Arabidopsis thaliana: one gene and its partners. The protein of the gene in region 1 interacts with the protein of each later gene in a pairwise test. Each region holds a gene or a part of one and is shown on either strand. Other genes may lie near its edges.

Evidence for each region.
Region 2: the proteins of AT4G03820 (region 1) and AT3G25805 interact in a protein complementation assay, tested with the Arabidopsis thaliana proteins (one large-scale study listed by BioGRID).
Region 3: the proteins of AT4G03820 (region 1) and AT5G59650 interact in a protein complementation assay, tested with the Arabidopsis thaliana proteins (one large-scale study listed by BioGRID).
Region 4: the proteins of AT4G03820 (region 1) and WAK3 interact in a protein complementation assay, tested with the Arabidopsis thaliana proteins (one large-scale study listed by BioGRID).

What each region holds. Positions count from the first base shown.
Region 1 is NC_003075.7:1,769,794-1,777,365, reverse strand, and holds AT4G03820 (transmembrane protein, putative (DUF3537)), read left to right. Parts: upstream 1-2,833; 5' UTR 2,834-2,838; coding exon 2,839-3,390; intron 3,391-4,078; coding exon 4,079-4,531; intron 4,532-4,610; coding exon 4,611-4,926; intron 4,927-5,015; coding exon 5,016-5,203; 3' UTR 5,204-5,238; coding exon of another isoform or gene 5,239-5,252; 3' UTR 5,253-5,522; downstream 5,523-7,572.
Region 2 is NC_003074.8:9,424,043-9,430,987, forward strand, and holds AT3G25805 (uncharacterized protein), read right to left. Parts: upstream 4,236-6,945; 5' UTR 4,128-4,235; coding exon 3,807-4,127; intron 3,272-3,806; coding exon 3,178-3,271; intron 3,090-3,177; coding exon 3,052-3,089; intron 2,966-3,051; coding exon 2,830-2,965; intron 2,731-2,829; coding exon 2,312-2,730; 3' UTR 2,196-2,311; downstream 1-2,195. Other genes in the region: PP2AA2 (protein phosphatase 2A subunit A2), read right to left, coding at 1-2, 268-348, 450-591, 752-831, 912-1,024, 1,102-1,741; AT3G25810 (Terpenoid cyclases/Protein prenyltransferases superfamily protein), read left to right, coding at 6,763-6,945.
Region 3 is NC_003076.8:24,028,763-24,037,519, reverse strand, and holds AT5G59650 (Leucine-rich repeat protein kinase family protein), read right to left. Parts: upstream 6,175-8,757; coding exon 6,093-6,174; intron 5,983-6,092; coding exon 5,445-5,982; intron 5,337-5,444; coding exon 4,881-5,336; coding exon of another isoform or gene 4,858-4,880; intron 4,799-4,857; coding exon 4,604-4,798; intron 4,518-4,603; coding exon 4,446-4,517; intron 4,362-4,445; coding exon 4,290-4,361; intron 4,204-4,289; coding exon 4,135-4,203; intron 4,040-4,134; coding exon 3,873-4,039; intron 3,782-3,872; coding exon 3,540-3,781; intron 3,469-3,539; coding exon 3,342-3,468; intron 3,263-3,341; coding exon 3,197-3,262; intron 3,114-3,196; coding exon 2,924-3,113; intron 2,823-2,923; coding exon 2,420-2,822; downstream 1-2,419. Other genes in the region: AT5G59660 (Leucine-rich repeat protein kinase family protein), read right to left, coding at 1-66, 170-314, 420-614, 692-918, 1,083-1,206, 1,269-1,372, 1,458-1,608, 1,716-1,833. UniProt on the Arabidopsis thaliana protein: Required for accurate photosynthesis.
Region 4 is NC_003070.9:7,431,452-7,439,004, reverse strand, and holds WAK3 (wall associated kinase 3), read right to left. Parts: upstream 4,771-7,553; 5' UTR 4,703-4,770; coding exon 3,826-4,702; intron 3,725-3,825; coding exon 3,566-3,724; intron 3,493-3,565; coding exon 2,303-3,492; 3' UTR 2,175-2,302; downstream 1-2,174. Other genes in the region: AT1G21245 (Protein kinase superfamily protein), read right to left, coding at 1,663-2,163; WAK5 (wall associated kinase 5), read right to left, coding at 6,659-7,553. UniProt on the Arabidopsis thaliana protein: Serine/threonine-protein kinase that may function as a signaling receptor of extracellular matrix component. Binding to pectin may have significance in the control of cell expansion, morphogenesis and development.

The DNA of each region.
Region 1 (7,572 bases):
GACACATGTAAACATCTGATCGTTTGACTTGACACGTGGCACGATCGTATGAGTTAGCAACTTTGAAAACCATACTTTATATAATAAAATATGTTAATGATTGAAGAATGATTTTTTTTCAAGAAGTTTAAAAGCAAAAAGAGAAAAAAGTTACTGAAAGAAAAGAAGAAAGAAGAATTAGAAAATCTAGAACACTCATTCAAATAACATTTTTACCTCAATCCTATTGATCTATCGTGGCTATTCTCGATTTTTTGAATATTACAATCCCACGATTTTCTAATCTCACCAAACATAACATTGTCCATAATTATCATGCAATTTAAATAAGTTTATATAATTGTATCATTTTATAAGTTTTTATTACGCTAAATTAGTTTGATCTTATTAGTCTTTTTTCTTTTTTTGTAAAAATGTTTTTTTATTACTTATGTTTGTAGTTTCTATCAGGCCCAGTTTAAGGCATGTATTCAAGATGCAAAAACACCAATTTTTTCCTTTTCTCAAATTTTCTCAAAAGGAGTCCATATTTTTTAATTTCTATATAAAATTTGTTTGTTAAAAAATTTGAACACAAAGTCAAATATAATTTTGAAACGGCCCGTTTCTACTATATGAATTCATATATTTCTATTAAAAAACTACTTTTTCGAAATATCTACATATTAGTTTTACTAATTTATCACCGATCGAAATCAGTCGATAACCTTTTTTTTATCTCCATTTTCTATCCCCAACCGAATTGGCTCAAGCTATACACAATGCCACACATATATATTTTAAGCATGAAATTTCCGGTAAAACAGTTCCATGTGTCGTGAGTTTACTTAAAAAGTAGAGACGTGTTTTGTCTGTCATGAAATTGAAATGTCAACACATAAATGTAAGGTTTTTTAGATAACAAATCAATCATTGTATAAACCACGAAATGTGGCATTTTTTTGTCGTCTAAACTATTTCTCTTATAATAGTGGAGGACACATGGGGGACCAAATTTTCTATAATAGCATATACATTATTAGTCTGATGGTTGACAATTCGTAGATATAAAATTGATATCCCATATGCGTTTAAATCCGATCTACACATTTAGTTGGAAGGTAAAAAAAAAAACAGTTTAGTCATGTAATGCGTTTAAAAAAAAAAGATCACTTGTGTTTAATAGAAACCATAATCCCAAAAATATTTAACTTTTCATTTATATTAGAAAAATCAATCATCTGCTACATAAGATAAGAGATATAATAAATACATGGTAACACATACCAAATAAAATAAAGAAAATCAGCTATCTGGCGTATATAAATTGCATGACTACATATACGAAATGTATGACGTTATGTAATTAACATCATAAACAAAGAATTTAAGGTTAACCGATCAACTGATTGTGGCGTTGACCAACAAAAATATTCAAAAATAAACTTTTAATTTATTTTTAATATATTAAAAACTATGATATGTCTTGTAACTGTTAATTTAGTTTTAATGTTTTAAAAACTATGATGTGGTCTGCTACACTTCAGATAGCTGACGAATTTTTTTTTATATATATTACACCTACAATATTAACATAATTATATGTTTAGTCCAAATAGACCGAACAACAATTCACAAAATTGAAACTGAAATCGGATATGAATTGGGTAAAAAAAAGATTCTAAATAATTTTCTGATAAAAAACAAAGAAACTATATCACTCCAAATCTCTTGACCATAGTGTTTGTTCCATTCCATCGTCACCATAGTTTAGACTTTAAATTCAGTTTCACTTTGACTAATTTTAGATAAATTAACATATTAAACGGAATCAACAACTTCCCTCTCTCCCTTGGCGACTACAGAGGCGACCAACAAAACCAGTTTCCTGTTTCATTTTTTTTAACAGGCTGCCGGCATTTGCCGGTAGTTTTTTTGCTTTTCTACTCCTTTCTTCTTTTGTTTTTAATATTGTGATGGGAGATATTCCCCTTAATTGGATTTCTGCTCGTCCTATCTTCTCCTTTCGAATGGTGACGGTGTTTATTGTCATGTTTAGAACAGAGACATACAATTACCAGTTTCATGTAAACCCGTTGCTATATTCGAAATCAGAAAAAATTCATCCCACCAATGTCTCTTTACCCATGTCATGTCGATTCATTTGAATCATGGTGTATTTCCTTATCTAAAGTTTGTTTTCGGTGGTTTCTCTCACCGACGTGATCTCCGGTTTTCAACCGATGAAGTTTCTTCAAATCTATGGTTTGGAGAAGTCATTTGGGTATTTGATCCAGGAATCAATAGACAAATTCTTTTGAGTGAAGGAATTGGCATCGACAATAATTTCCTCTTCTCAAACACATGGTCCGATGATGGCGATGTACTCGCTGTCCAACGATCCGTTTATTCATGTTCATGGTCTAATGATGGTGATGTACTCGCTGTCAAACGATCTATTTATTCGGATTCTATGGAAAAAAGTAATCATGGTCACTAACCGGCGACGATGGGTAGAGTGTTATAAAATACATGATCGAGATCCATTTCAAGCAACATATCCGTGTGTTCGTTTAATCAAAGTGATGCAGAAAGCATTTGGGAGTTTCATCTATAAGATGTTAGCCTTTTACGAGTATATGACGAGGGGACTTAACAGATTTCATCTGTTGCTTGTAAGGCTTCCGTTTGGAAAGCAGGGTCATTTCCATTTTTTTATCAAAATTGTACAATTTCTTTTATTTTATTCGTATTTGAGTGGTTTCATGTATCATGTATTATATAATATTTTTATAATATAATATAATTGATTCGGTGTTAAAAAAAAAAAAACATATTAAACGGAAATTGCGAACGTTAATGGAAAAGAATATATTTTATTATTATTATAAATGCTGTTTGGTACAGGTGGCTTACAAAAATCCAAAGTGCCGTAACTTATTAGCTTCTCTTTCATTTCAAGTCAAAAAGTCCAAACCTCTGCAGATTTTATTCCTAAACCCGACCATGGAAGAATCATCAAACCAACAAATCCTCAACTCCGAGACCCGACCCGACCCGATTCAAAAACCACCGGAATCACCAGCCACCAAACTCTCATTCCCGAGACTCTTCCTCTGGTTTGATCAATCAAATCGCATCAAAACTCTGCTCTCATGGTCCATCTTCTTCCTCCTCGCCGTCATCGTCCCAATGATCTCACACTTCGTGCTAATCTGCGCCGATTGCGATTTCAAACACCGTCGTCCTTACGACGGTTTAGTGCAGCTTTCGTTATCGATCTTCGCCGGAATCTCGTTCGTTAGTCTCTCAGATTGGTCCAAGAAATATGGAATCCGAAGGTTTCTCTTCTTCGATAAGCTTAAAGATGTTAGCGATAAAGTTAGGATCGGATACGAAGCTAAAATCCAGGTAAATTAAACGTATCGACTAATTATAGTATTAGTAATCTAATTTCATGATTAAGAATCGTAATTTTTGGGATTAAAATTGGTAACTAGTGGAATAAGAAGCGATTGTAAAGAACCGGTTATTTCAGTTTTCTTTCAAAATCGGTTCATCAGTCGGTTCAATTTGGAGAGATTGAATCATATTTGGTTTACGTCTCGGTTTCGGTACGCCTAAACCGATCAATTGCCTAAAAATCAAAACTATACCGAAAATAAACCGATTTCTACCCAAAACATATATTAATCCCAACCAAATTAACATATTTTACCCTACTTTATCAGATTTTAACTGGGAAAACCCAAAAAATCGGTTCAATTCGGAGAATTTCATTAACCGAAATACTGAGATAACCGACTCAGTTTGGTTTGGTTAACTGAACTCGCAGGCCTAGAACTTTAAGTTTTGACCTGCCATTGAATCTTAGGCTCAAATCTTGATGTTTTTTTAATCCCAACCAATTTAACCGATTTTACCCGATTTTAACCGGGGAAAATCGGTTCGATTCGGAGAATTTCATTAACCGAAATACCGAGATAACCGAGACATTGACCGAACTCGCAGGCCTAGAACTTTAAGTCTTGACCGTGCCATTGCATCTTAGGCTCGAATCCTGATGTTTTTGAAAGTCTCCTCTGTTTTATTGTTGCAGAGATCAATGAAGCTACTAGCTATCTTTGTCCTTCCATCGACAACGCTTCAAGCTATCTATCGCATTTGGTGGTATGCTTCAGGCTTTAACCAAATCCCTTACATTATAAACCCAACGCTGAGCCATGTCTTAGCCTGCACACTCCAGCTCTCTTCTTGGCTCTACCGTACATCACTCTTCATCATTGCTTGTATCCTCTACCAAAACATCTGCCACCTCCAGGTCCTCCGTCTTGATGAATTCGCACGCTGCTTCGCCTCTGAGATCAAAGATTTCAGTTCCATACTCGCCGAGCATCTCAAAATCCGTCGTGAACTGAAGATTGTCAGTCACCGGTTCAGACGATTCATTCTTTTGTCATTGTTTTTCGTCACTGCCACTCAGTTCATGGCATTGCTGACTACCATCAGAGCTAGTGTTCCCTTTAATATCTACGAAGTTGGCGAGCTCGCGGTAAGATTTCCTCTTCACTTTCATATAGGGATGCAAGTTTTTGAAACATTATATTGATCAATGTCTCTGTTTCTTACAGTTATGCTCCACAAGCTTGGTGTCAGGACTATTCATATGCTTGAAAAGTGCAACACAAATGACTCACAAAGCTCAATCAGTAACGAGCATCGCCACAAAGTGGAACGTGTGCGCGTCTTTAGATACATTTGATGTTCTTTATGACGGAGAGACTCCTAAATGTCCAACAACTACACAACATTCCCAGATTTTATCGCGTCGTCGTAATGTTGTTCAATCGTCTGATGATGATGAAGAAGGAGAAGGAGATGACAATGATCTTGAGATACATCCAATCTTTGCCCGCGCCATTTCTTCTCAGAAACGTCAAGCTCTAGGTAAATAAAATCTTGAATTAGACTATGATTGGAATAAATCATTTTCACCTTTTTAACTGATTTGGTTTCTCTATTGTGTATATATTTAGTGACCTATCTAGAGAACAACAGAGCAGGGATCACTGTTTACGGATTCTTGGTGGATAAAACATGGTTGCGTATGATCTTCAGCATCGAACTTGCTCTTCTTCTATGGCTGCTCAAAAAGACAATCAGTAATTTTATATGTTTCTACTCTGAATCCATATTTTCATTTTTCATCACTTTCCTCTTGTAACCGATAACATTCTTCATGTTTTTGGTTTTTGGCAGTGAACATAACATGAAGACAGAATCAGTGTCACACAACACACACGAAGAGATTGGTACTAAGATGTTTTTATTTCAACAATGGCGATATAACAGATTCTTTTTGTAGATCTTCTATATATACAAATATAAAACGTGTGTATGTAAATCAATGTTTGATCCTTTTTGAGTTATATATATGTATCCAGATCATATTTATTGATTGTGTGTAAATACTGATTTTTGAAACCTATGTTTGGTCTCATTGATGAATCCGGGCGTGAAATGTATGATTATGGTTTTGTGATATTCTCGTAAATTGTGTGATAAAACTTTACGATTAACACAAATTATTTAGATACTGTTGAGATTAGATAAATACTACTATTATTATTTTTGTCACTTACTTCCTAAGTATCTTATTTTCCAATTAACTAAAACTTATCCTATTATCTAAATTTAACTTTCTCTTCAAGCAACTCTTGTATATATACGTTGGTTCTCTTCAGTTCATTGTAAGTATCACAACACAATAAGAAGTCTATTTTATTACTCTCTCGTCACTTTTTTTCTTTATTATTTTATTACTTCTATAATATTATATTATATTAGAATATATAATATAAAAAGTTGAAAACACACAACAAATTTGAATATATTATTTAAAAATTAAGGTCCAAAATCTAATAAAAGTTCCGATTTTGTTAGCCAAATTACTCATTTTAACTTCCCTTCAATATCACTTTGTTACGCAAACGACTCGACAACCGTTCTCTCTCCCAAGCGATCTGCCATTGAAGGCAACTTCACAAAACTTCATCACTTTGGCCGGCGTCGGTCTCTCTAGCGTCGGCTATTCTCGTGTTTGTTATTGCTTTTCTCTAATTTCTGCAAAGTTTTCAGTTTCTTGTGGTAAATAACGGCAAACCGAAAATCTCAAATTTATGTTCTTTGCCACATCGTGACGGTGGTACATCATTACTATCGATTGTGATTCATTCTTCAATCTGGAAAGCCTATCAATTCAACTTGATTTCACGGATAAATGCATCCATTTGTCGATGTTTCTGATCGTGTGTTATATCGATTCTTTTGAATTTTGATTGTCCTTGTATAAGGTTTGTATACGGTGGTCTCTCACACCGGCATTATCTCCAGTTATCAACCGATGAATTTTCTCTGCAATGTGGAGTTATCATTTGGGTTTTCGATCCCGGAATCAATGGAGTAACCTTGTCGCTTGAAGGCATTCACATGTTTCGAATTGGGTATGGCTTTCGATCTAAGATTAGATTATTACTTATCTTCAGTCTTAATCTGTTTAGAGTTGGGACAACCTATTTTTATCTCGAAGGCGAAGGCTTCCTCTTTTCGATGACACGATCCATTGATGATGATGTTATCTCTTTCGCTTGGTCGGAAAGTTTAGGTTCTATGAGAAGAGAAACCATGGTCACTAAACAGCAAAGATGCGAACGACATTTCAGAAGTCATGTTTCAAAACCATATCTAACAACATATCAGATTTTTTACAGTAATGCAGAAAGCATTTAGGAGTTTCATCTATAAGATGTTAGCCTTAGTCTCTTGCGAGTGTATGAAGAGGGGACTTAAAAGATTTATTATGTTGCCTGTAAGGCTTCCGTTCGGAAAGCAGGGTCATTTCCACTTCTTCATCGAAATTGTGTTCAATTTCCTTTATTTGTTGCAATGGTTGTATTTGGTTGGTTATGTATCATGTCAACTTTTATGATATAATATAATTGATTTGCCGTTAAAAAAAAGAATATATAATATTCAACACGTTATCTGCACGAGTGACTCTCGATCCGCTAGCACGCACGACTCTAGATCTGCTTTTGAGGTAACATTTAAATTATATTGAATAATTTAAATCATTAAAAATTATATATATATATATATATATATATGGAGTAAAAGACTATATCCTCTTCTCGATTATAATAGTAGGTTTTGCCTCTTGGTCGTATAATAAAATTTACATCCTTGATCATAACGGTAAGCTCTACCTCCGCGATCATATGTTCAGATCTATATTTTGGATCAAATGGTAGTCTCCGCCTCCTTGATCCTATGAAAAGCTACGCCTCTTCTACAATCATATGAAAGAGTATACCTCCTACAATGATTTTTTTTTAATTTATTATATTATAGCTTATAATATATAAATTATTTTTATGTTGCTTTATTATGAAAACAAGCTTTTGGAAAACTTTTTTTATAATAAAATTTTAATTTGACAAATTGTATCATATTATTTATATAGTTATCATGTCGAACTTGGCAAAGCTTGATATAACTGTCTTTGATGTTTCTGGAAAAATTATATGACATGGA
Region 2 (6,945 bases), on another chromosome or scaffold:
TCCTAAAATAGAAAAAACAACGTGAAGTTAAAATCTGCAACATACACAATCCAACCAAAACATCCTGTATAAGAAACGCACGTCAATTAAACTCATTTTTGTACAATTGGTAACAACCTAAGTATATTTCTTCTTAATGATGAAAGAGCACATGAGACGCTTCAGACATCAGGACGAAAAACAGTTGGACATAGTCATAATCATTAAGATGCTAAAATGAATTTGTGCATTATGAACCAACACATCTCTGTTTGCAAACTCTCTTACCTTACCCAAGACTGGAGCCATTCCCATTATAACTGAGGCCAATGCAGATCTGACATGCTGAGAAGAGTCTGATGATAGCTCCTACAGGTAGCATTAAGAGGAATCATCAGTAATATGCAACAACTATACGTTGATTTTCTGTAAGGAACTTGGAAAACAATTGAATTCTCTTAAGCATGTACCTTCACACAGGGGAGAATGTGCTGGATAGCAATTTCAGGGTTTAGAATCCGACAAAACTTTGTAACTTTTCCGGCAGCTGCTATGCGTACTTCAGCTTCATTATCACGAAGTAGGCGCACATATGCAGGCACCAGCTCCGTCCTTAAAATAGAAGACACAGTAAATAGTATCAAGAGGAAGTAAATGGGATCATCAAGTTCCTTAAGCCTATTGGATGATATGCATTTCTATATTGAACATTAAATTAGCCCATCAAAGGTATTAAAACATGCTGCATTAGGTTTATGCAAAACGTTCTTACCTAGTAGGCTCAGGTCCCACGGCTTCACAAAGCTCGTAGAGTTGATTTGCAACCATATAGCGCACACGCCAAGACTTATCCTGCTCAGTGAAAAAGTACAAAGATTAAGCATTTCTTTTAAATGTAGATCATCAGCATAAAAGCCTACAGACATAATCACCTGCGAGAAATTAACAATCACGGGAAGAATGTGTTGGACACAATCCTGAGGCTCCAACAATTTCCCAAGAGCAGCACAACCCTCAACGGCCAATAATCTAACAGAATCTTGATCTGATATGAAAAAAACGTAAGATGAAATTCGACAAATATATATGCTGTAGAGTAAATAAACGCTCAGTGTTCAATACCATCTTGAGTAAGATCCTCAAACATGGACATAACGTCGGTCTTCAAATGCGCTGATTCAACCGTAGCAGCAAATTTCCCAAGATTAGTTGCTGCAGCTCTCCTTACCATCGGCATATCATCCTGACAAAGCTGAGTATACAACGATCTTAACTCAGTCTTCAACATATCCGGCGCGCTCGGGTATGCAATATGGAAAACACCGCAAGCCGATACTCTAGCTGTGAACCACTCACCAGCGGCAAGTCGCTTAACTAACGAAATGAAATGATCAACCAAGTCACTCTCCCTCATCTGAGAGCCAACTCTACAAAGCGACTCAACAGCTTTCTCCCTAACACAAGTTTCTTCGACAGTCGAAAGAGTTTCCAAAGGTGGAAGAAGAACATGTGCATACTCAACACCACCAACATAAGGAATAAACACACCCAATTCTTCAGCCATTGCTAATAAAACCTCATCATCATCGTCATTGTTTTCGCTAAGGAAAGGGATCAATTCCTTTCTAGTCCTCTCTTCCCCAAGAGCACGAGCGATCGTAGAAAGCCTTCTGATGGAATTCAATCTTAGCTGAATATCATCGTTTTTTAACTCGTCTATAAGTACGGCGATTGGGTACAACGGCTCATCGATCATAGACATCTTCAACAACACCAACAACAAAATTACAGCATAATTATAACGAGATCGTAAAATCAATTTCCAGAGCCCAATTCTCAGGAGATGATCAATTAGGCGAATCTAAATTACCATTTCTATCAAAAGATAAACAGACCAACAATCAAATCGGAAATTGGGTCTTACCTCAACACAAACACGGCTCAATTTTCTCCTCAACGAAACACAAAATTTCGTTCGACCTACGAAGAAAAAAAAGAGGATCTAATGGCGAAATGTCTCTTTTCTTTATTGAGAGCAAACGACGACGTCTTTATTTAATTGGAACCATACCCTTCTTAAATGGGCTTTAACGGGCCTTTTGGCCCACGACGTTTATGCTGTTTCGGTCAGGACTTTACTTTTGCGATTCATTTCTTGCAATTTACCAATTTTATAGAGTTTTCACTATTCCTTCGTGAAATATAAATTCAAATGTGGAAAAAACATTACCGATACAAATGATAGAATTTTCTAAAAATGACATAACAAAATTTCCATAATATAATTACATTTGTTATAAGTACAACGACAATATGTGTGTATACTAACAAATTAAATTGATTCATCTTCGAGATTGAGAAACAAATGATATGCAAGTAAACCAAAAACAGGAACAAACCTTAGATACTTCACCAATTCAATCTTGTTCTTCTTCACATTTTGCAGGTTCTCTCCAATCAACCATGGCTGAAAGATTGTGTACAGACATATATCCCATATAAACGCGTAAGCTAGTCTCTCCGATCCCAAATAACCAATCAGATACTGCCATCTGTCCATGATTCCACCGAAATCACCATCTGCTCGACCGTAGAGAGACCACAATGCTGATATCAGACACACCGTAGCTCCGGTCAGACCAACTATTGGTGCACCTTTGGTCATCACTTCACCAAGTTGAGACCTTTTGCTTGGTTTATCATCTGGGTCAGCGTCATTGAGCCGTAAAGCCATGTATGGGATTAGAAACGCTGTTTGCAACATGAGATCAACAGAACCAATAATCTAGTTTAGAGGGTTGCTTTCCAGAGAAACTGAACTTCTTAAATAAAAACTAAAGTTGTATTTACTGTTTGTAAGGAACATCATGAGACTCCATAAGACGTCAAGAGAGCTTTTGTATCGATTTCTCTTTCGGTCTGTGTATAGCAATGGAGCAAACATGAGTGTCCAAGCTATTACAAAGTTGAATAACCCTTCAGCCATCTGTTGAATTTAAAAAAAAAAAAACAATTTCAGAACGATTTACTTTCACTAATACACAAAAACCTGTTCAGCTCAAAGGTACAAACCGGGTGAAGAACAGGAGCTTGTAAGAAGTGAATACCAGCTGTTCTGTCACAAAGTCCATAAGCAAGAAACTTTCATCAAAGATCAAACAGGTAAACGAAATCGATATATCTTAAGGCTGAACATACCGGCGTTTGTAAGAGGCAAGACAAAGAAGAAATTCAGAGAAAGTCCCAAAAGAGAATTCACTGTCTCTGAACTAATTGCCCAAACTGGATCTCCCTGTTGATCATAGAGATTATTTTCTAATTAAGCAACCATACAAGATTACACAATCTAAGATAATGCTAACCACAAGCACATATCATGATAATCTATAGAGAGAAGAGCAAATCTCAGTAATAAGTTGAAGATAACAACAAAACTATTCGATTCTCAAAGCATTCAAGCAGAGAAATTGAAAAAGTTCTCATTCCTAAAATCATCCAAAATCCAAATTACTTTTGAAGATTCATCAATGTGATGCTACATAAACCTTCCAAACATTCACATAATCCATAGATAAATTAGTAGCCACATAGAACTATGGCTATATCAGGAACTATGAGTATGATTCAAAAAGAACAAACCTACTAGATTCTCAAAACATTCAAGCAGAGAAATTGAAATGGTTCTCAATTCCTAAAATTATCCTAAATACTTTCAAGATTAATCAATGTGGTGATTCTACATAAACCTTAGAAACATTCACACAGATATATCAATGTCTCAATCTCAGGAACTATGAATACGAATTTTTGAAGGTATTATCACTCACAGGAGCGTAAGGGAGAAGAAAGAGCCATAGTATATACACAGCTTCACTAGTCCATAGAAGATACCGAACAATTCTCCTTATAGAATCATCTTCAACCTCTACCGTCGCCGTCTCCGGTTTCCGGCGAGCACAGCATAAGAAGGAACTGTCTCGTGTTCGTAATTTGAAACGATTCGTAGACTGCCATGGATTGTAGCAGCGATCGACTGTGGAGATTTCTCTACTCCGAAGAAAATGGCGGCGAATTTGTGGCGATTTGATTTGGGAACTGTGGAGACGGTGACGGAGATATGTCAACGTCGGTGAGGTTATCAGAATCATCGTCGTCCCTTCACTGCATTATCCACCGTTTAGTCGGAGAATTTTTTTTATTTATCTGAGAGAGACTTGCTAAAACGGCAGCGTATTGGTTATCTAAATTTGAAAGCAACGACGTCGTTTTAATTGAATCGAATTACACATTACAGTTGGCTTTAAACAGGCCATTGGCCCACGGCCTTATAAAACGCCGTTTCGGTGAGACACTGAAATTGGATAGTCACATCATTATTATGGGTGCTAAGCCAAATATCTTTTTCATCATTATTATTCGACATTCCTCAATTTTCGTCAACTTCTTTTAACAACCCCAAAATCATGGTTATATAACTTTGCTTTATATCTAGAGGCTTAGTTAAATAAATAAATAAATTCAAAATTAAAAGAACATTGAATCATGTAGGCAAGATTCAATTTCAACTATTTTGGTTAATTTTATTATTTATTTTCATTTAATTATTGTGGAACGTATGATTTATTCATGTAGATAGTTTTCTAATCTCATTAGAATATCTTATCATATAATTTAAGTGTGGACCAAAACATAATTTATTTCTTCTACGTTATTTCTCTTTTTTTTTTGTGTGCAAAATACTTGTATTCATTCAATCAAGAAAGAACCAAATACAAAGAGAACTGACTTATTTCTCTATATGTAAATTATTGAAGAAATTATACCTTTTAAAAAAATAAAAATGTATCGAGATACATTTAAATTTCTGTTGTATGTAATGTGTATACGTGTAATCCAATTTCTTGGGATTCTATATAATTATTTATGTTGTTATGGTCTGTACAAAAATATCACATGCTTATAATATAAGAGATATTTCTTTTATACGTATGTATTCTTTTAATGGTTTTTAATATAGCAATATTAAGATTCATTGTTCATCTAAATAAGTTTTTATTAGTTAGCGCAAAAATAAAAACTCGTTTGGAGAAACAAAAAATGGTTAAAGCGATTAAATATTGTTTTTCAATACATTAAAATTGTTTGCCATCTTCTAAAGTTGTTTACTCACTTCAGAATACATATGATACTCTCTAATGGGAAGAATCCCATGAGCCAAAACCAATTGTCTTTGGAGTAGAAAAAACTTATAGATCTTTTTGTGGAATCATAACCCTAGATTCAGTAGGGTTTATTGAAAAAGGAAAAGATAATACATATCCTAACAAGACATATCCAAACTAATCCACAAAAAAACTAGACGATTCGTGATATATTGGAGATATCAAATGTACGATGTGGCTTCGAATTCCTGCCAAATTCAAAGGGATCTAAAAGGTCTTTAATGATTCTTCATATGTCATGAATTTCTACTACATTGGGATGAAAGTAAGTTAGTTAGTTTTTATTTGTTTGCTTTTCATTTTTGCTAAAATTTTTGATGAATTTTATCAAATATAAAACACAGTAGCGTAGACTATATTGTTAAATTTTTTTTGATGAATTTTATCAAATTTAAAAATACAATAGCGTGATTTTGAGAATAAAGCCTATAATTTTCCTTCATACGGCTTATTGAGTATACATTAGAACTATATTTTTTACAATAGGATAACATAGTTCTGAAATGAGTAAATTGAAAAGAGTTTTTGAATTGATTGAAGTATGATTCTGGTTGTTTAGAAAAAAAAAAAAAATTAATAAAAGAATTAAACCATTATGTGTGAACTGTGAATCCAAATATTGTTCTTTTTCTCACTTTTATTAGTTAATCACTGATATATCTCATCAATCATAGATATTGTTTGCAAAAATACTTAAACCGTTTTGTGTACATTACGATCACAAAACAAGAGAATCACATAACCTTTTTTTCAAACTAACTTTTTTTATTAAGTTGAATCAAATAAGTTTACTTCTATATTATTTAATTATATCTCTCTACAACATTTAAAAACCAACACGTAAATTCGTATTAAAATAATATGGAAATTGTTTTTTCAAAATCCTCTACACATATAAGTTATTTGAATCATTAAAACGGAGTTACAAACTTTTTTTCTTCGATTATCAATGTTTTTCTCCTAAAGAACAAATGAAATCGACGACAACCTAATTTTTTTTGGCATGTCTGCCAACAAAACTCATAGCCATCAGATTGAACTGTCTTGTAATCAAACTTGAACTGTCTCCATCACTTAATCTTTGTACGCAGTTTTTATAACTTCTATATTTAATCATGTAGAAGATTTTAATTAGATAAATTTCAGTTACAAAAAGTGGATATTAGACATTGCGAAAAGAGTATTGACATGCAGCAAAATTGGGTAAAGTTTGTCACACTATTTAATTGAATATACTTGAAAAATAACTATTTATCTGGTAATCTTGTAAATAAAGATATAATAATAGATATCTTTAAATAATTGACTATGATTTATAATTTTATATGGTGAAAATAGAAATAAATTTGGTAAATAAGATATTGTAGTTGGCACATACACAAAAATAAACTTCAAGTTAAACCAAATTGGACAACCTATTGAAAAAAAAAAAAAACAGAAACAAAATCATGTACCGAAATAGTGTTCTAAGTCATCATTCTGACTCTGTCTATATAAAGTTATAAACGTATGTGTTCTCCAATATATTCAGCCAGAAAGAAGAGAATCTTATACTAATTCAATGGCTACTTTGTGTATAGGTTCAGCTCCTATTTACCAAAATGCATGTATCCATAATTTTCGTCTTCAACGTCCTCGTCGTTTCATATCCAAATCCATGACAAAAACGATGCCGGATGCTAATCCTCTTGACCTCCGTCGACGCTCGGGCAACTATCAACCTTCTTCATGGGACCATAGTTAT
Region 3 (8,757 bases), on another chromosome or scaffold:
TCTAGTTGCGTAAGGTTTTGAATGGCAGCAGCTATGTTTCCAGTTAAACCACTTGAAGACAAGTTTCTGGTAAAGTTTTCAAAACCACATTCAAAGTTGTAGTTAAAGATCATGACTACTAACAGATCTTGAAGAGTTAGTGTCCGTGTCTACTGATTTTACGACTTACAAAGAAGTAATTCTTGGTGGTGTGGAGATATCCGTATTGCTGCAATTTAAACCATCCCAGATAAAATGTTGAGGGACACATGGATCGCCTTGCCAGTTGATTCTACTCGATTCGTACATGGCTTCAATCTTTTTTATAGCAATCACTGACATAAAAAGTTTCGATGATGTTAGAAAGTAATACATGAAAAATGCATACATGAGTACCATGCTTATGTTTTGTTTCCTAGATCACTAACCATAAGACATACCGTCAATTTCATTTGTTTCGGATTGCGGGAACTGGATGACTGCATAGATTTCCAAAGCGTTAAGTAGAGGTGGAAGAGTTGATCGGTTGGTTCTTGTTAGCTGCAAACTACATTTCCCTTCTTGGCAAGTTTTTGGGGTCACACTTTGGACACTAGTTATGTCAAGTTTCTTAGGAATGATAGGGTCAGAAAAAACTTCTCCGTTAAATAGGATGTTGAATTCTCTGGTATCATTTGCCTGCAAGTCTTGGATCTCAGCAAAGTGTGCGTACAAGTAATATTGGTCCCTGGGACTTCCTGACTGGGACTTCCTGAAGGCCATTCAATCGTCAATGGTGCACTGGCATTAGTCGGTGTGGCAGCATTTCTTAGCGCATCTTTCGGTGGAGCATAATTGTTGGAATTGTTCACTTCAAGAGCGGTATAAATCTGGGTCCATCCCGTCCGAAAACTGGCTCCATATGATACCCATGTGCGATCATATACATCTTTCATGTAGCTGGGGGTGGGAAACAATGTTGTTTTAGTAGTAAAACAAAAAAAAATGATCATATTGATTGCCTTAAAACCTTATGTATGACCTTTTCTAAGTGTCAATGAAAACAACCCTTGTATTGAAACAGAGCAGAAAGAACAAACAATGATCAGTTGAAGTTAACTTACCGTAGATCAGATCCTGACTTGCTAAGATATGTTCGTGATAAAAGATTCAAGGAACCAGACTTAGTGATATAAGAACCATTTCCCATAATTCCAAAGCCGATATTAGCGGTATAGTTTCCCCAGTCTTAACAAGACAAATCTGCAAAGAGTTTGATGTTGGGATGTGTAAGATCTCTTCCGCTGTACCATTAACTTCTGTTTGCAAATCCACCGTGGCCCATAGATTAGGTCCAAGATACAGATCAAACTTTGGCTTAAGGTCAAAACCATCATAATTTCCATATACAAACCTAGCCACAATCAAATGTGTCCTGCCCTTCTCAACGTTTAGATTGTAGCAGTTCCTTATTCCATCTGGAAAATATCTCAGCGTACGGCTTAGCGTATCCCTGAGGATTTTCTCGGATTCGACCGTTTTTTCCACTACGTATGAACTTTTCATCCGAAGAGAACCGCAGTCCAGTGAAACTCTCTTCATAAGGAGACAGTTCATTCGCAGGGAGTCCGCAATCCAAACTGATGAATCCTGTTGGCAGACATTTATAAAGATTATTCTTTAAAACAATGCACTTCTGAGAACCAAAAAGTTTGTAAAAGAATGTGTTTAAAAGGGAAAAAAAAGGTTTCTGATACCTTGTTGGTCTTGAGCTCGAACAATATGAATGATGGAGACTAGCAGGAACAAAAGGCCAAGAGAATTCTTCATATAATCATCTTCTCTAACCTTCCAAGGAAAAATCAAGAAAACCATTTGGCTAGGAAGAAAATGTAAAAGCCGAAAGAAAGACTTTGCCAAGCCAAAAGAAATGAGTAAATGCATTTTCTATTCAACAAAATGAATAAGAAAAAGAGGACAGCAAAGTCCCAACATCACTATCATGAACTCAATCATGGAAGATATGGAGCAGACCCAGAAGCACGTTAAGCAATAAACTATCACATCAATTATATTTGACATAGCCTTAAGTGAATGGTGAGCCTAATAATTTCAGAGTACAGATAAATGTATGTTGAGAAATCACAATCCATAATCTGTTTCTTTAATTTTATATACTATTTGACAGTTTTAAATCAATACTCTTCCAACCATTTTACAAATATTTAACCAAAATCATTTGTTTGTTAATGATGGAACCACAAAGAGGTATACTCTTTTACGGTCAATGATTATTAGCATCCAAGCCACACATACAAAGAATGAAAACATCACTAAGCACACATAAAATAATGAAAACATCACCAAGTAACAGGGTATATGATCTTGGCATGTGGATGATCAAAGCAAACATGACCAATAGCCCAACTAATTAGCATGGTTGTGTTACCTGCAGCACATACTACCTTGCCCTCGGAAACAACTCTGTGTCAAAGCTCATGCTCACTTTAAGAGAATTCTGAGAGTCCATATTCATATTTTCCCTCAAGTTTTCAGAAACAAGACATTCTTTCAGTTCATTAGCAACTTGGGACATGTTTGGTCGGTTCACAGAAGAAGGATTCGCACACGACATTGCCAGTTCAAGAACTCTCCATACAGAACGAGATTCGTAATCCCCGTTCAGGTTTGGATCCATGATCTTAGTAATATCTCCTCGGGTAAGCTCAAATCCAACCCATTGTGATATGTGAGACTTTGAACGGGACTGGTCAATCACAGGTTGGTTTGTGATAATCTCCAATAACACAATTCCGAAGCTGTACACATCGCTCTTCTCACCCAGTCGAGTTGTCTGGTAATATCTGCACGGCAAAAGTACATGGTTATACTCTCTAACCAATATATAAAGTGCAAAATGACAACTCACTTTCAGCACATTGTAATGGTAACTAACGACACTTACTCAGGATCAAGGTATCCAGGAGTACCAGCAACCACAGTTGAAATATGTGTTTCACCTCCAATAGGGAAAGATCTCGAAAGGCCGAAATCGGCAAGCTTGGCCTTTAACTGTTCGTCCAGCAATATGTTTGTCGTTTTTATATCTCTATGTACAATTGGTGGTGTGCATCCAGAATGTAGATATTCCAATCCTATTCAAAGGAATGATTATTTGTTAGTCCACCAGAAGGAAAGTCATTTTAAGCTGCCAATATTGGCTAATAAGCTTACGAACCTAGTGCAGCCTCCAGAGCTATTCGTAGACGATTACCCCAGTTGATAAAGGACCCACCGCTTTTTCCTGAATACTTGATTCTTTAGATCCTTGGGAACGTTGAAACATATATACACTTTCGAATCATGAAGAAATTCAAGTTTACCAGATAGATGTTGTCTTAAGTCTCCCTTGGGCAAAAACTCATAGATGAGAGCCAAGTGATCTCTTTCATCGCAATATCCAACAAGACTCACCAAATTTGTATGGTGAACTCGTAGAAGAAGATCAACCTAATCATTCATGGGAAATAAAAGTAAGAGAAAGCGTTAGATGGTCATATTTTTAAGAAGATTATGCATACCTCTGCCTTAAAATGCTTATATCCTTGACTTGATGATTGAGAGAGAACTTTAACAGCCACCTGTTCAGAACCATTTATAGTACCATGACAAACAACACCGAATCCTCCTTCCCCTACAACTCTTTGAAAATTATTCGTCATTTTGATAACCTCTGAATAAGTAAACCTTCTCTTTTTCGTCTCGATTGATGGTTCAGGTGAATTATCATGAACCATTGGCATACTCAGTGGAGGTTGTAGAGCTATAGATAAGAAAGAAAAAAAGTAGGGTATGTAAGAATTCATCGATTTGTTGCAGTTTCTTGATTTGATGAGAGATCTCCTGCAAATTACCTCCCACAGTAGATGACTTTTTCTTACTGAGAACAAAAATAATAACCAACACAGCAACAATTATGGCCACAGAAGCAACTGATGCAACAATCACCACCGGGAATTTCTTCTTCGAGTTTTTTTCTGTGCAGGAACCAGAGAGACAAAGCCTTGGGTTGCCTTGAACTCTGCAAGAAAAAGAGTGTTGTTAAAAACATCAAATCACAAAAGGGCTGTGGAAAATAACTGTGGAATATTAAAAAGTACGTGGGAAGTTTCTTACAGTAATTCTAGTCCCTCTCTTCGAAGACCTTGAGGAAGGGGACCACTAAGATTGTTGCCGCTTAAGTTTCTATTAAAGAAGAGCAATCTTCATGCATACAGACACATGAACCAAAGGAGAACTGAAAGTAAACGAAAATATGCTGAGCAACTTACATGATCACCAACGATTTCATCTGGGCTAGAAATTCCGGCACCACTCCAGTTAGTGTGTTATTTGACAAGTCCCTAAAAGTTTATTTCCAAAATAAAGTAGAGCTCATTAGGTTTTCCTCCATCAACAAAACCAATATTAACTATGGCCATACTTACAGTTTTTCTAAATGTGTAAGGTTTTGAATTGCGGCCGCAATGATTCCAGTTAAACCGCTCGAAGACAAATTTCTGGTGATTCCAAAGCATGATAGTTAACTTATTTTGAAGATAAGTGTCAAAGTGTGCATGTTCATATCTTGGATCTTACGACTTACAAGGATAATACTCTTGGAGGTTTAGAAACATCTGTGTTGTTGCTACAGTTCAAACCATCCCACGCATACTTTTGAGGGACGCAAGGATCTCCTTGCCACCTGATTCTACTCAATTTATAGGCAGCTTCGATATTTTTAACAGCAACCACTGATGTAGAGCTCAAGGATGTGAGAATTAGCAGGTGAAGTTGATTTCTCTAGTTAAAAAAAAAAAACAGACTGTATCTGCATAACAATGAAGATAAGTAACATACCATCATTTTCATTTGTTTCCGACCGTGGAAATTGGATAACTGTGTAGATTTCAAGAGCGTTAAGTAGAGAAGGAAGAGTTGACCTCGAGGTTTTTATTAGCTGGTAAATGCAATTTTCTCCTTTGCATGTCACTGGAGAAAGATTATGGATAGTAGTCACCCCTAACTTTGGAGGGATGAAACCTTCTTCAACAACAGCTCCATCCCATAATATGTCAAATTCTCTGGTATCATTGGTCTGTAAATCTTGTATCTCAGAGAAGTGGCTGTACAAGTAATATTGGTCACCAGGATTGTCTGGTGGCCAACTGATTGTCAATGGCGCGCTGGCATTAGAAGGCGTGGCAGCCGCTGCAAGAGCCTTTTTTGGTGGTTCATAATTGTTATCATTGGTCACTTCGAGAGTGGTGAAAATTTGGGTCCAATCATCCACCATAAAGTAATTATGCCATCTGCGATCATAAATATCATCCGGGTACCTATGTGGAACAAAGGTTGTATTATCCTTGAATAAGTATAGGAATGTTAAAAATAAAGAGTATAGGAATATAGAATCCATCACTGTTAACCAAAAAAAAAACACTTACCGAAGAAAGCCATCTGTCTTGTTGAGATATATCCGAACGAAAAGATTCAAAGAACCATCTGTGAGATAAGAATTATTTCCTAATGGCCGTAATTCCAAGGCTGAGATCAAGGGTGTAGTTGTCCCTGTCTTAACAAGACAAACGTTCAAAGAGTTTGATGTTGGAGTGTGAAGGATCTCCTCCATTGTACCATTCACAAACTTTTGCAAATCTATAGTTGCCCACAGATTAGGTCCTAGATGCAGTTCAAATATCGGGTTAGAGTTACGACCATCGTAATTCCCATAAATGAACCTAGCCCTGATCAAATATTTCCTGTTCTTGTCAACACTCAAACTATAGCAGTTCCTTCTCTCCTCTGGAAAATACCTCAGCCTCGTGTACGGCTTAAGGTAGTCATTCTCCATACTCGCCTGGATTTTACCACTTTCACCAGTCTGGATGAATTCAGCATCAGACGAGAACCGTAGTCCGGTTACTGACTCAGTATAAGAAGACGGTTCAGTCATGGGTAACCCGCAATCCAAACTGATAAACTCTGTTAAGAGAGTGAAAAATCAAAAGCATCTCAGATACAAACATAACTAAGACTCGAATCAGTAAGAAGTAGTAGTGTAATATACATATAAACCATTAAGATTTAGGTACCTTGTTGATCCTGAGCTTGAACACAACCAATAATGGCAAAAGCTCCTAATAGCAGCAGCAAAAGCCAACAAGGACTATCCATAATTGCTTTTAGATATCAAAACCTTACCAATGCCAGAGTTTGAGAGAAACACAGCGTATAAATAGATAAACCCAAGAAACAGTCCAAGCCTCTGGCAACATGGCAAGATGTCCTGAGTCAGTGAAACGAATGAGTAAATGTGTTTTCTATTGCAACTTTACAATTACAAATTTGATTTGTCCCAAGAATGTCAGAATATATGCAACTTGTATTTAGAAAAAATAATATGCAACTTCTGTGTTTTTAAGAGAATATGTCAATAGAGGGTTTTACAGTCACCACTCTTTTAACGCATTAAAAAATGTTCACACAGAGAGAAAGCAAGAGATTTGACTTTCTAGTGGTCAGTGACTTTGATTGAATCATATCGGATAATTTATCACTAATTAATACACATTTTGACGTCTTCATCGACAAGAACAGCTTCTAATCACAAAGCAGAGGATTCACATTTATCAACAATGACTATTATCTAAAGAGAAGTGGGTCAACATGAAGAAACAAATTTCAAGACAAAGACGCCATTATCAGATATCTAAAATCATAAAGTTCAAATTTTTAAAGGATTTTCAGTTACATCATAAACTGAGAAATTACCTTCCGGCCATGAAACTGAGAGAATTTTGATTCCATCTCTTTGAGCCGGCCCAATAACTTTTGTGAGGAGGAGGACGAATGTGAGGAATCTCCGGAGATAAATCGGCCATATACGGCAGCGAAATCTCCCGTCGTGAGAAGGACGGCGATGACAATGAGACCTCTTCATCGGCGATTAGCACTGTTTGAGAACGCGATTGGCGATTTGGAGTGCTGGAGAGTAGCGTTTTAAACGCAACGGTATGTATATTTTTCAACGTTGCTATAATAACAGAAATAATTGTTATGGGCCAAACATGGGTTTTATCAGCCCATTAAACAGAAAATAATGAATTTGGAGTGCTGGAAACACGGTCGCTGGAGAGTAGCTTTTTTAAACGCAACGGTATGTATATTATTCAAGCTTACTTACAGAGTTTCTAGTTGCGTAAGATTTTGAATCGCAGCAGCCATGGTTCCAGTTAGACCACTTGAAGACAAGTTTCTGGTGACATGTCCAAAACCACATTCAAGTGTCACAACTACTAACGGATATTGAAGAGCGTCTGGTCAGAAATCGATATTCTTACGAAAAAATTACGGTCATTATTTTCGTCAGAAAATTGTGACCATTTTCATACAAAATTGTGACGTATTTATTTGGTCATAAAAACGTTACTATTTCGTTATAATATTATGACTTAATTGAATGTAACTAATGTTTGTCACTAATTATGTCAAATTTGTTACAAATTATATAGTCATAAATATAAGTACGGATTTGCGACCAAATATAGTAACTAAATTATACGATAATTGTGACTGAATTTATGTCATGTATAGTTACGAGAATTTTGTAACAACGATGACACAATTTGTCACTGTTTTAGTGACTTTTGCGTTTGGTCATAGATTGTGACATAAGTGTTACCAATTTTAATACAAAAATAAAAACTTGTGAACAAAAAATTAAATAAAAAAACTTCTTCAGTTTTGGAAACAATGTTTTTGATAATACAAAAAAAGCTGTAAAAAGTCCAAATGAAAAAAAAAATTATTCGGATTCGTCACTAGTTAATTCGATATCAGAATTTCCATCTTCAGCATCTGATCCATCTTCGGCTTCTACTACTGGATCATCAAGATCTTCTGGTTGGGCATCTAGATATGATAGTGTCTCGATTTGTAATGAATCAACTTCAACAATAGAATCATCGTTATCATGCTGCATTGCAGTGAAATCCAGATTTTTGTTATCAATACTTTCCCTCTCGGTTGTATCATAATTGCTGCTTCCCATTGTTGATCTTTTCTCGGCTGAGTCATCCGTGGATATGGAACATAACATACCTGATCTGCTTGTGAAGCCAAAACAAAAGGATCATACTCTTCATAATGCCTTTTAGCATTAATATCAATAATCCCTGACTTGTTTCTTCGTATACCTCTCCCAACTTTTGAATCATACCAATCACACTTGAAGACCACGACCTTGAGATCAACATGTCCAGGATAATGAAGCTCATAAATTTCTCTCAATATTCCATAGAAATCAGCTTCTTCATTTGAGCTAGAAGATGTTGTACCTTTGACACAAACTCCATAATTGGCATTCTTTTTGTTCTTTCCATGATCATATGTATGAAATATGTATCCACGACAAAAATACATTGGCCAACAAGTAACTTTAACCATTGGACCATGAACAATACTCAACAACCACTCTGGATATGAATTATCCTTCCAAGTATCCTCCACCTGATTCAATATAAAAAGACACATACTATATTATAAGCTATCAAGTATTTATCTCATATAAAAAAAAAATATCTTACATATTTTTTTAACCAGCTTGAATATTGCTTTTCTCTAAGCTCATTTAGATCTTTTTCACTTATCCCAGGATTAGCCGCGATCAAGCTCTCATCAAACAACCTATATATACATATATAACCATGAAAAATATTTACAATGTCTTTTACTAATTCTACAAAAAAAAACAAAATC
Region 4 (7,553 bases), on another chromosome or scaffold:
GTCCTCTGTTCTTTTCTGGATATCACAAGGCAAATTTACTCTTTTTCTTAACAGATCTTTCCACCTCAAATTAAGCTTAAACTAATCTTAATTATATATTAATTAGTTAGACGATATGAAAATTGCCTTTTAACTATAATGACTATATGTAGAAATTAAGACTCCTGAATCCTGTGATCACAACATGCTCTGTTTTCTTCTGATGCTTTTATTACGAGTTTTTTTTCCCCATATTATAACATCACATTTAGACATTTCGAGTCACAAATCGAAGTTTAAGAGTTTTACATTTAGATGATTACAAAGAGAAGAGTAATATATATATACCTGAGCAACAAGAAGATGACATACATGTCAATTGATCTTTTACTCCATAAGAAAGGAAACATACATTTACCTAATCTTAAGAGTTAAATATATAGCTCATGTTAACTGAATAACTACGATAATGACGATGAAAACGGATTTTACATGTTTCTCCGGATCGTGGGACATTAGGGCATCTCCATTAGTTAGAGACTAACTAGGTCTATGACTAGAAAATACTCTTGTTTTTTGTAAAACTCTTCTTCTTTTTATTAAACGCAGGTACAAGACAAAAACTGATTCATCATTGCATAAATTGAGTAGTTACACGAAAAAGCAAAGTCTAAAGACATCATATCGATACATTGTCAGTGAGCTGGACAAAAACTCACTACTTTCCTCTCCCTTTGTCTAATTGAATCATATACACAAGTTGAAGTTCAGTCTTGGGACAGAGTAAATCACTTTTGCAGCATGCAACCAAAGGTAAAAGCATTACCAAACATACAAGTAAAAGTTAAAACTGAGAATTGAGATTCCTTTAATATTTGAGTCTGCACTTTCCCCAACTTTTATCTTCATCCACTGAAGTTGGTTCTAAGATAATTTTAGTCTGAATACGTGCTTGGTATTATTAGTAAGTCAATAAACATGAATTGGGGTAATCAAATGGAAGTAGACAACAAGTGATCATGCTTTGATTGGTGACTAACCTGCCAATAATCGTAGGATTGCTGACTAACACTTACTAAAAATCATATATTTTAACAAGAAACAAATTAAGAGATTTGATGTGATATACAATATCAAGCAATCTTATGCAACAAGAATGATGGGTTGTAGATGAGTAACGAAACATGATGACTCAAGCTGTAGATCAAATATGAAGTTTGCACCAAATGAGTCTTTTATTTTTTTAGTTTACCAAGCAACTAACAAAGAATCATATGGTTTGGTTTGAGGAAGCGGTATCTACGATGAACTCGACCAGGTGCTGAAGATTTCGATGATCATATTCATAGTATACTTACTCTCCTCTGTTTTTGACGCCTACTTTAAATTCTAGTGTTTTTTCTTCTCGAGTTGTTTTGTTTTTCTTTATAATTAAGCACAATGATATATTAATGTCGTATGGAATCATATTTATGAACTCTAGGTAGTTTTTCTAATACCTAATCAGCTACTGGTTAGCATATAAAAATATAGGAGAATTGTGAACATGAGTATATATGGATGATCTACAAGGATATCAATGTTTTTGAATGTCATGTTTTGATATTCTGGTTATGTTTATAAAGACAAAAGGAGATAAACAATAAAGAATTAAACAATATACTTTTTAACAAACAAAATTTATCAGCGGCCAGCTTCAATGTCAAGCAATGCTACATTCTTGACGCTGTCATAACCACGGCTATTGGTATCGCCTTGGGAAGACACGATGTTGCTACCAAGCAAGTGTAAATTCTCCTCTCGATACTGATCCGACCAATTATGTTTGGTTGTTTTGACGCTCAAAGTTTCTAGCTCTACAGCTACTTCTTTCATCCTTGGCCTTTCTTTTCCCATTAGCCTTGTACACTCTGCAGCAATTCTTGCAGCTTCCTGGATCTCCTTCAGATTATCCTCGTTCAACACTTGGTCGTCAATAATCTCATGCAACCTATTCTCTTCCGTGGCAGAAACAAAGTAACTCACCAAATGTTTTGAAGCCTGTGGCCGTTCAAAGCACAATGCCTTTTGACCTGAGAGCAGTTCCATGAGGACTACCCCAAAGCTATACACATCGCTCTTCTCGTTCAGAAGCCCTGTGGTATAGTATTCTGGGTCTAAATAGCCTAGAGTGCCTTGCACCATAGTATACCAAGTAAAGGAAAATATGAACATGATTATTGATGATGAACAAACAAGCTCTCAAAGCATATTGATGAAGCAACAAATAAGTGGTTTTCTTTTTTTACAAACAAAAGAGATACATGTGATTTTGTGAGCAATATCAGCGGCCAGTTTCAATGTCCAATATTGCTACATTTTTGATGCTATCATAGCCAATGCTGCTACTGGTTTCGCCTTGTGCAGACAAGATGTGACCACCAATCAAGTGTTCATTCTCCTCAGGATACTGATCCGACCACTTATGTTTGGTTTTCTCGACCCTCAAGGCTTCTAGCTTTGCAGCTACTTCTTTCATCCTTGGCCTTTCCTCTCCCATTAGCCTTGTACACTCTGCAGCAATTCTTGCAGCTTCCTGGATCTCCTTCAGATTATCCTCGTTCAACACTTGGTCGTCAATAATCTCATGCAACCTATTCTCTTCCGTGGCAGAAACAAAGTAACTCACCAAATGTTTTGAAGCCTGTGGCCGTTCAAAGCACAATGCCTTTTGACCTGAGAGCAGTTCCATGAGGACTACCCCAAAGCTATACACATCGCTCTTCTCGTTCAGAAGCCCTGTGGTATAGTATTCTGGGTCTAAATAGCCTAGAGTGCCTTGCACCATAGTTGTGAGCTGCTCTTTATCCATTGGTATAAGCTTAGAAGCGCCAAAGTCGGCTACTTTTGCAGTTAAGTTTTCATCCAAGAGAATATTTGCAGTTTTGATATCGCGATGGATGATTGGAATAGAAGCAGAGGAGTGAAGATAAGCAAGAGTTCCAGCGACTTCTATCGCTATTCTGAGGCGGTGTTCCCATGTAAGAGAAGAATCAAAAATGGAACCGTGCAAGTGATCGAAAAGGGTGCCATTGGTAATGAATTCATAGACCAACAAGGGGACTTCAGTCTCTAGACAGCAACCCAAGATCTTGACCACGTTCCTGTGGTTAATTTGTGAAAGCACGAGCACTTCGTGGATGAACTGATCTACTTGTCTACTGTCTGCAAGCCGAGCTTTCTTTATAGCAACGATAGTGTTGTCCGGCAATATCCCTTTGTAGACTGTTCCTTGACCTCCCTGGCCCAAGATTCTGCTCTCATCATAGCCATTAGTTGCCTCTTTCATGCCTTCCTCAGTAAAGATTTTGAAATCAATGTTTGACAACCCTGCTCCTGAAAGTCGCTGTATCAACATGCCACCACCATTTTGCTCAAAGAATTGTCGTCGGAGCTTGGTATACTTCCTTTGCTTCGTTGCATGTTGTATACAGATCGCAGCAAGCAGGAGGACCAAGACGCCGATTATGATTACTGATAACATCATGCATAGATGATTAGAGCGAGTTGATTTAAAGAGAATCTAGAACCAGTGAAGAGTGTTTACCAAGAAAAATTCGAGTCCGTTTGTATTCGGGCCTCGTGCAGCTCATACTGGAGTTTAAGTCGTAACCAGATGGACACTTACAATCGAAGCCTCCATCCCTGTTTCTACAGGTTTTTGGATCCGAACAGTTATGTGTATCACTAATACACTCATCGATGTCTGACCAAAGGAATAAGTGCACAAGATGCAACCAAAAACGTATGAGGAAGATTATAAACACTCAAAAGAAGAAAGAAAGCAAAGAAATTAATATGAAGTACCTTTGCAACCCTCTGAACGGTATGGATTCCCATCATAACCTTCATTACATTTGCAGATATACCCGTTTCTAGTAGTAGAATTGTAACATGAGCTGTTCTTACCGCATATTCTTGTGCTTCCAGCTTGCTCACATGTCTGGTTTCCAATAGACCAATCTAGTGCCACAGGGAACCTCGTGACATTCCTCAGATTCTTAAGATCTTTTGAAGAATCGAAGTTAAACTTACCATCTTCAACGAGAAAAGCGTAGGTGCAAGGATTAAACTGATATACCGAAGTATTAAATAGATCTAAGGAATTATTAACTTGGTTTCTCAAGCGAACTGAGCCAAATTGGAATGTATCGCTATCGAACGGGACAGAGAAGTCCTCTGTTGTGCAGCAACCTACACCATTACATCTTCCATTTGCCTCTGGTTGAGAATTGCATAATGACAAGCATCCAGTTGAGTAGTTTTGCTTTCCAAAAGTGCTCAAAAGTGATAAAGCGTTACATCCTACTAAAGTAAACTTGTTGTTGGAGGAGAGAGAGAAACTACTACCCAGCTGATACCCGAGGGCAGTTCCATTAGTCTCATTTTTCTGCTCGTAGCATTCAGAGAATCGTTCAAACAGTACACTTACATGGCCACTGTGAGAAATATTGGTCACTTGAATGATGCCAAAGAGTAGTAGCTTCTCTTCCACGACACAGGTGAGATTGAAATTATCATCTCCGGGATAGTAACAACCTGTAGAAATACCAAAAGGGTACTCTATTGTGACGTTTCCACATTTAAGTTTACAATCTTCGCGAGGTTGATGTTGCCCCTTCACAAGCTGAGTATATGCAAGGAAGAAAATAACCACCAAGAACACACCCTCCTGGAACTTCATCTTCTACCTTTCTCTTTCTTTCTCTCTAAACTTGTTTCTCTTTGAGTTTTCTCTCATCGCTTATTCGCTTCTTATAGCTTGAAAAGTAACCCCTGATTTGACATTGTTGAATAATCAAATGTGAAGAAAAGTAAAGATTCAGACTACTAGACGTTAGAAAAATATAAATGCGTCAACTTCTTTATCTGTCCTTTCTTTCTTGTCTTGATTTTTCCAGGAAACTCCAATTTATTGTTCATATATGAAAGTCTCGTTATAGTGACAATGTAGGAATAAGACTCATCATGATCACAACATGCTCTGTTTTCTTCTGCTGTCGTAATAGTAGAAATATGTAGTTTTTTTGTGTGTGTGTGTGTGTTGAGTTTATAAATGTCAACAAGTTTTCGAAGAATTTGAATAGTTCTTGCCTCATGTGTCATGTCGCTGCTTACTCTTCAAGAGGTTATCTATGAGAAATTTCCATGCAAATCCACCACTTTGTTAGAAACTGAATCTCCTTCTAGAAACAGAACAGAGTTAAGAACAGAGAAAGAGAATCAGACTTTGTATCACAATTGGTTTGATCGTCAACATAACAATAAAGAGAAGAACTTGTCTTTCTATTATAGAGAAAGTGAAATACAACAACTGTTTTACAAGGTTTACAACAATTAACTTAAATACAAACCAACAGACATGAAAAGTCAAGAGTTATGACTCTTCTTTCTTGTGACACAACAAACATAACTACTTTAACTTAACAGACACGACACTTAAGTAATATATTACAAACCAAACTCAATTACGACCAGCACTCTTTCACCGAAAGAAACCAGATTCATTCAAAGAAACTGAGGGAAAATCTTGAGAAAAAACTGAAAATACACTGTTTGATGATTAAAATAATCTTTGACAGACCAGACTTAGAGATTTTAAGGGTATAGTAGAGGTAGCTTTCTCAATTTACTAAAGATCAGAGTTTTAACAAAAAAGGAAAATTTGATGGTTACAAAACCACAACAATCTTATGCAGCAAGAATGATAATTTAATTTAGAAAACGCAGTATTAAAATTTTAATAACAGAGCAATATATGAGTCAAGTTGTTTATCAAATAGTCAAGTTGTTCTTTCATACTTTCAAAGCCTTGTATCAAAAACGTTATTTTTCTTGAATATAATTTAACATTACATTCAAAAAAAAAAAAAAAAAAAAAATGTCAAGTTGTTCTTTTGGAGTTACGTACATACCACGCATCTTAAGTTAGAGATTTCTCGTTTACTAGTTTTTACTTCTCATGTAGTTGTGCATATGTTTGTTTATTACTGATCTAATTCCAAAATCATATGTTAACTTGTTTACATTTTTGTCTTCGTCTTGTTGCTCGTGGATATATATAATTGCATCTTTGTAATCATTTCATCATAATATCGATCACGTTGACGGAGAGTGCTTTTCTAGAATCCACCAAATTTTCTCATGTTTTCACTATATATATTACTTATGGTTAAAGATCATAAATTTTTAACAAAATAAGAAAACTTGATGGCTTCAAAACCAGAGCAATCTTATGCAGCAAGAATGATTTTGTTAATTTAGAAAACGCAGTATTAAATTATAGATGCCAGTACCAAAACAATATATGAGTCAAGCTGTGGATCAAATAGGATGTTTTAAGCAACTGAGCCCTTTAAATTCGAGTTATTGTTTTGCAACCACAACAGTATATCAATATCTCTGCTAGTAGATTCATGAATTCTTAATTTTTCTCATACCGAATCGTCTACTGGTTAGCTTACCAATCGAATGGAGTTATAAAATGAATAATTGATGATCTACAACGGATCTCTCGAGCATAAATGTTCTTGAATATCATGTTTTGATACTCTGTTTTTTTTGAAGTGTTAGGAAACATATAGGACATAAGCAATAAATAAGTGGCTTTACTTTTTCACAAACAAAAGATTGATAAATATCAGCGGCCAGTTTCAATGTCCAACCTTGTTACATTCTGGATGCTGTCATAGCCAATGCTACTGGTATCACCTTGCGTCGATAAGATTTGAACACCAAGCAAATGCTCAACCTCCTTGGGATATTGATCTGACCACTGATGTTTGGTTGTTTTGACTCTCAAGGCCTCTAACTCTGCAGCTACTTCTTTCATACTTGGCCTTTCCTCTCCCATAATTCTTGTACACTCAACAGCAATTCTTGCAGATTCCTGGATCTCCCTCTGATTATACTCGTTCATAACTTGACCGTCAATAATCTCATGCAACCTATTTTCTTTCATGGCAGAAACAAAGTAACTCACTAGATGTTTTGAGCTTTGTGGCCGTTCAAAGCATAATGCCTTTTCACCTGAGAGCAGTTCCATGAGGACTACCCCAAAGCTATAAACATCGCTCTTTTCGTTCAGAAGCCCTGTATTGTAGTATTCAGGGTCTAAATAGCCAAGAGTTCCTTGAACCATAGTTGTGAGCTGCTCTTGGTCCATCGGTATCAGCCTTGATGCACCAAAATCAGCTACTTTTGCAGTTAAGTTTTCATCGAGGAGAATGTTAGCAGTCTTGACATCTCGGTGGATGATTGGAATAGAAGCATAGGAGTGAAGATATGCAAGAGTTCCAGCAACTTCTATGGCTATCCTCAGACGGTGTTCCCATGTAAGCGAAGAATCAAACATAGAACCGTGCAAGTGATCAAAAAGAGTGCCACTGGAAATGAACTCATAGACCAACAAGGGAACTTCAGTCTCTAGACAACAGCCCAAGAGTTTGACCACGTTCCTGTGGTTTATTTGTGAAAGCACTAGCACTTCGTTGATGAACTGCTCTACTTGGCTACGGTCTCCAAGTCGAGCTTTC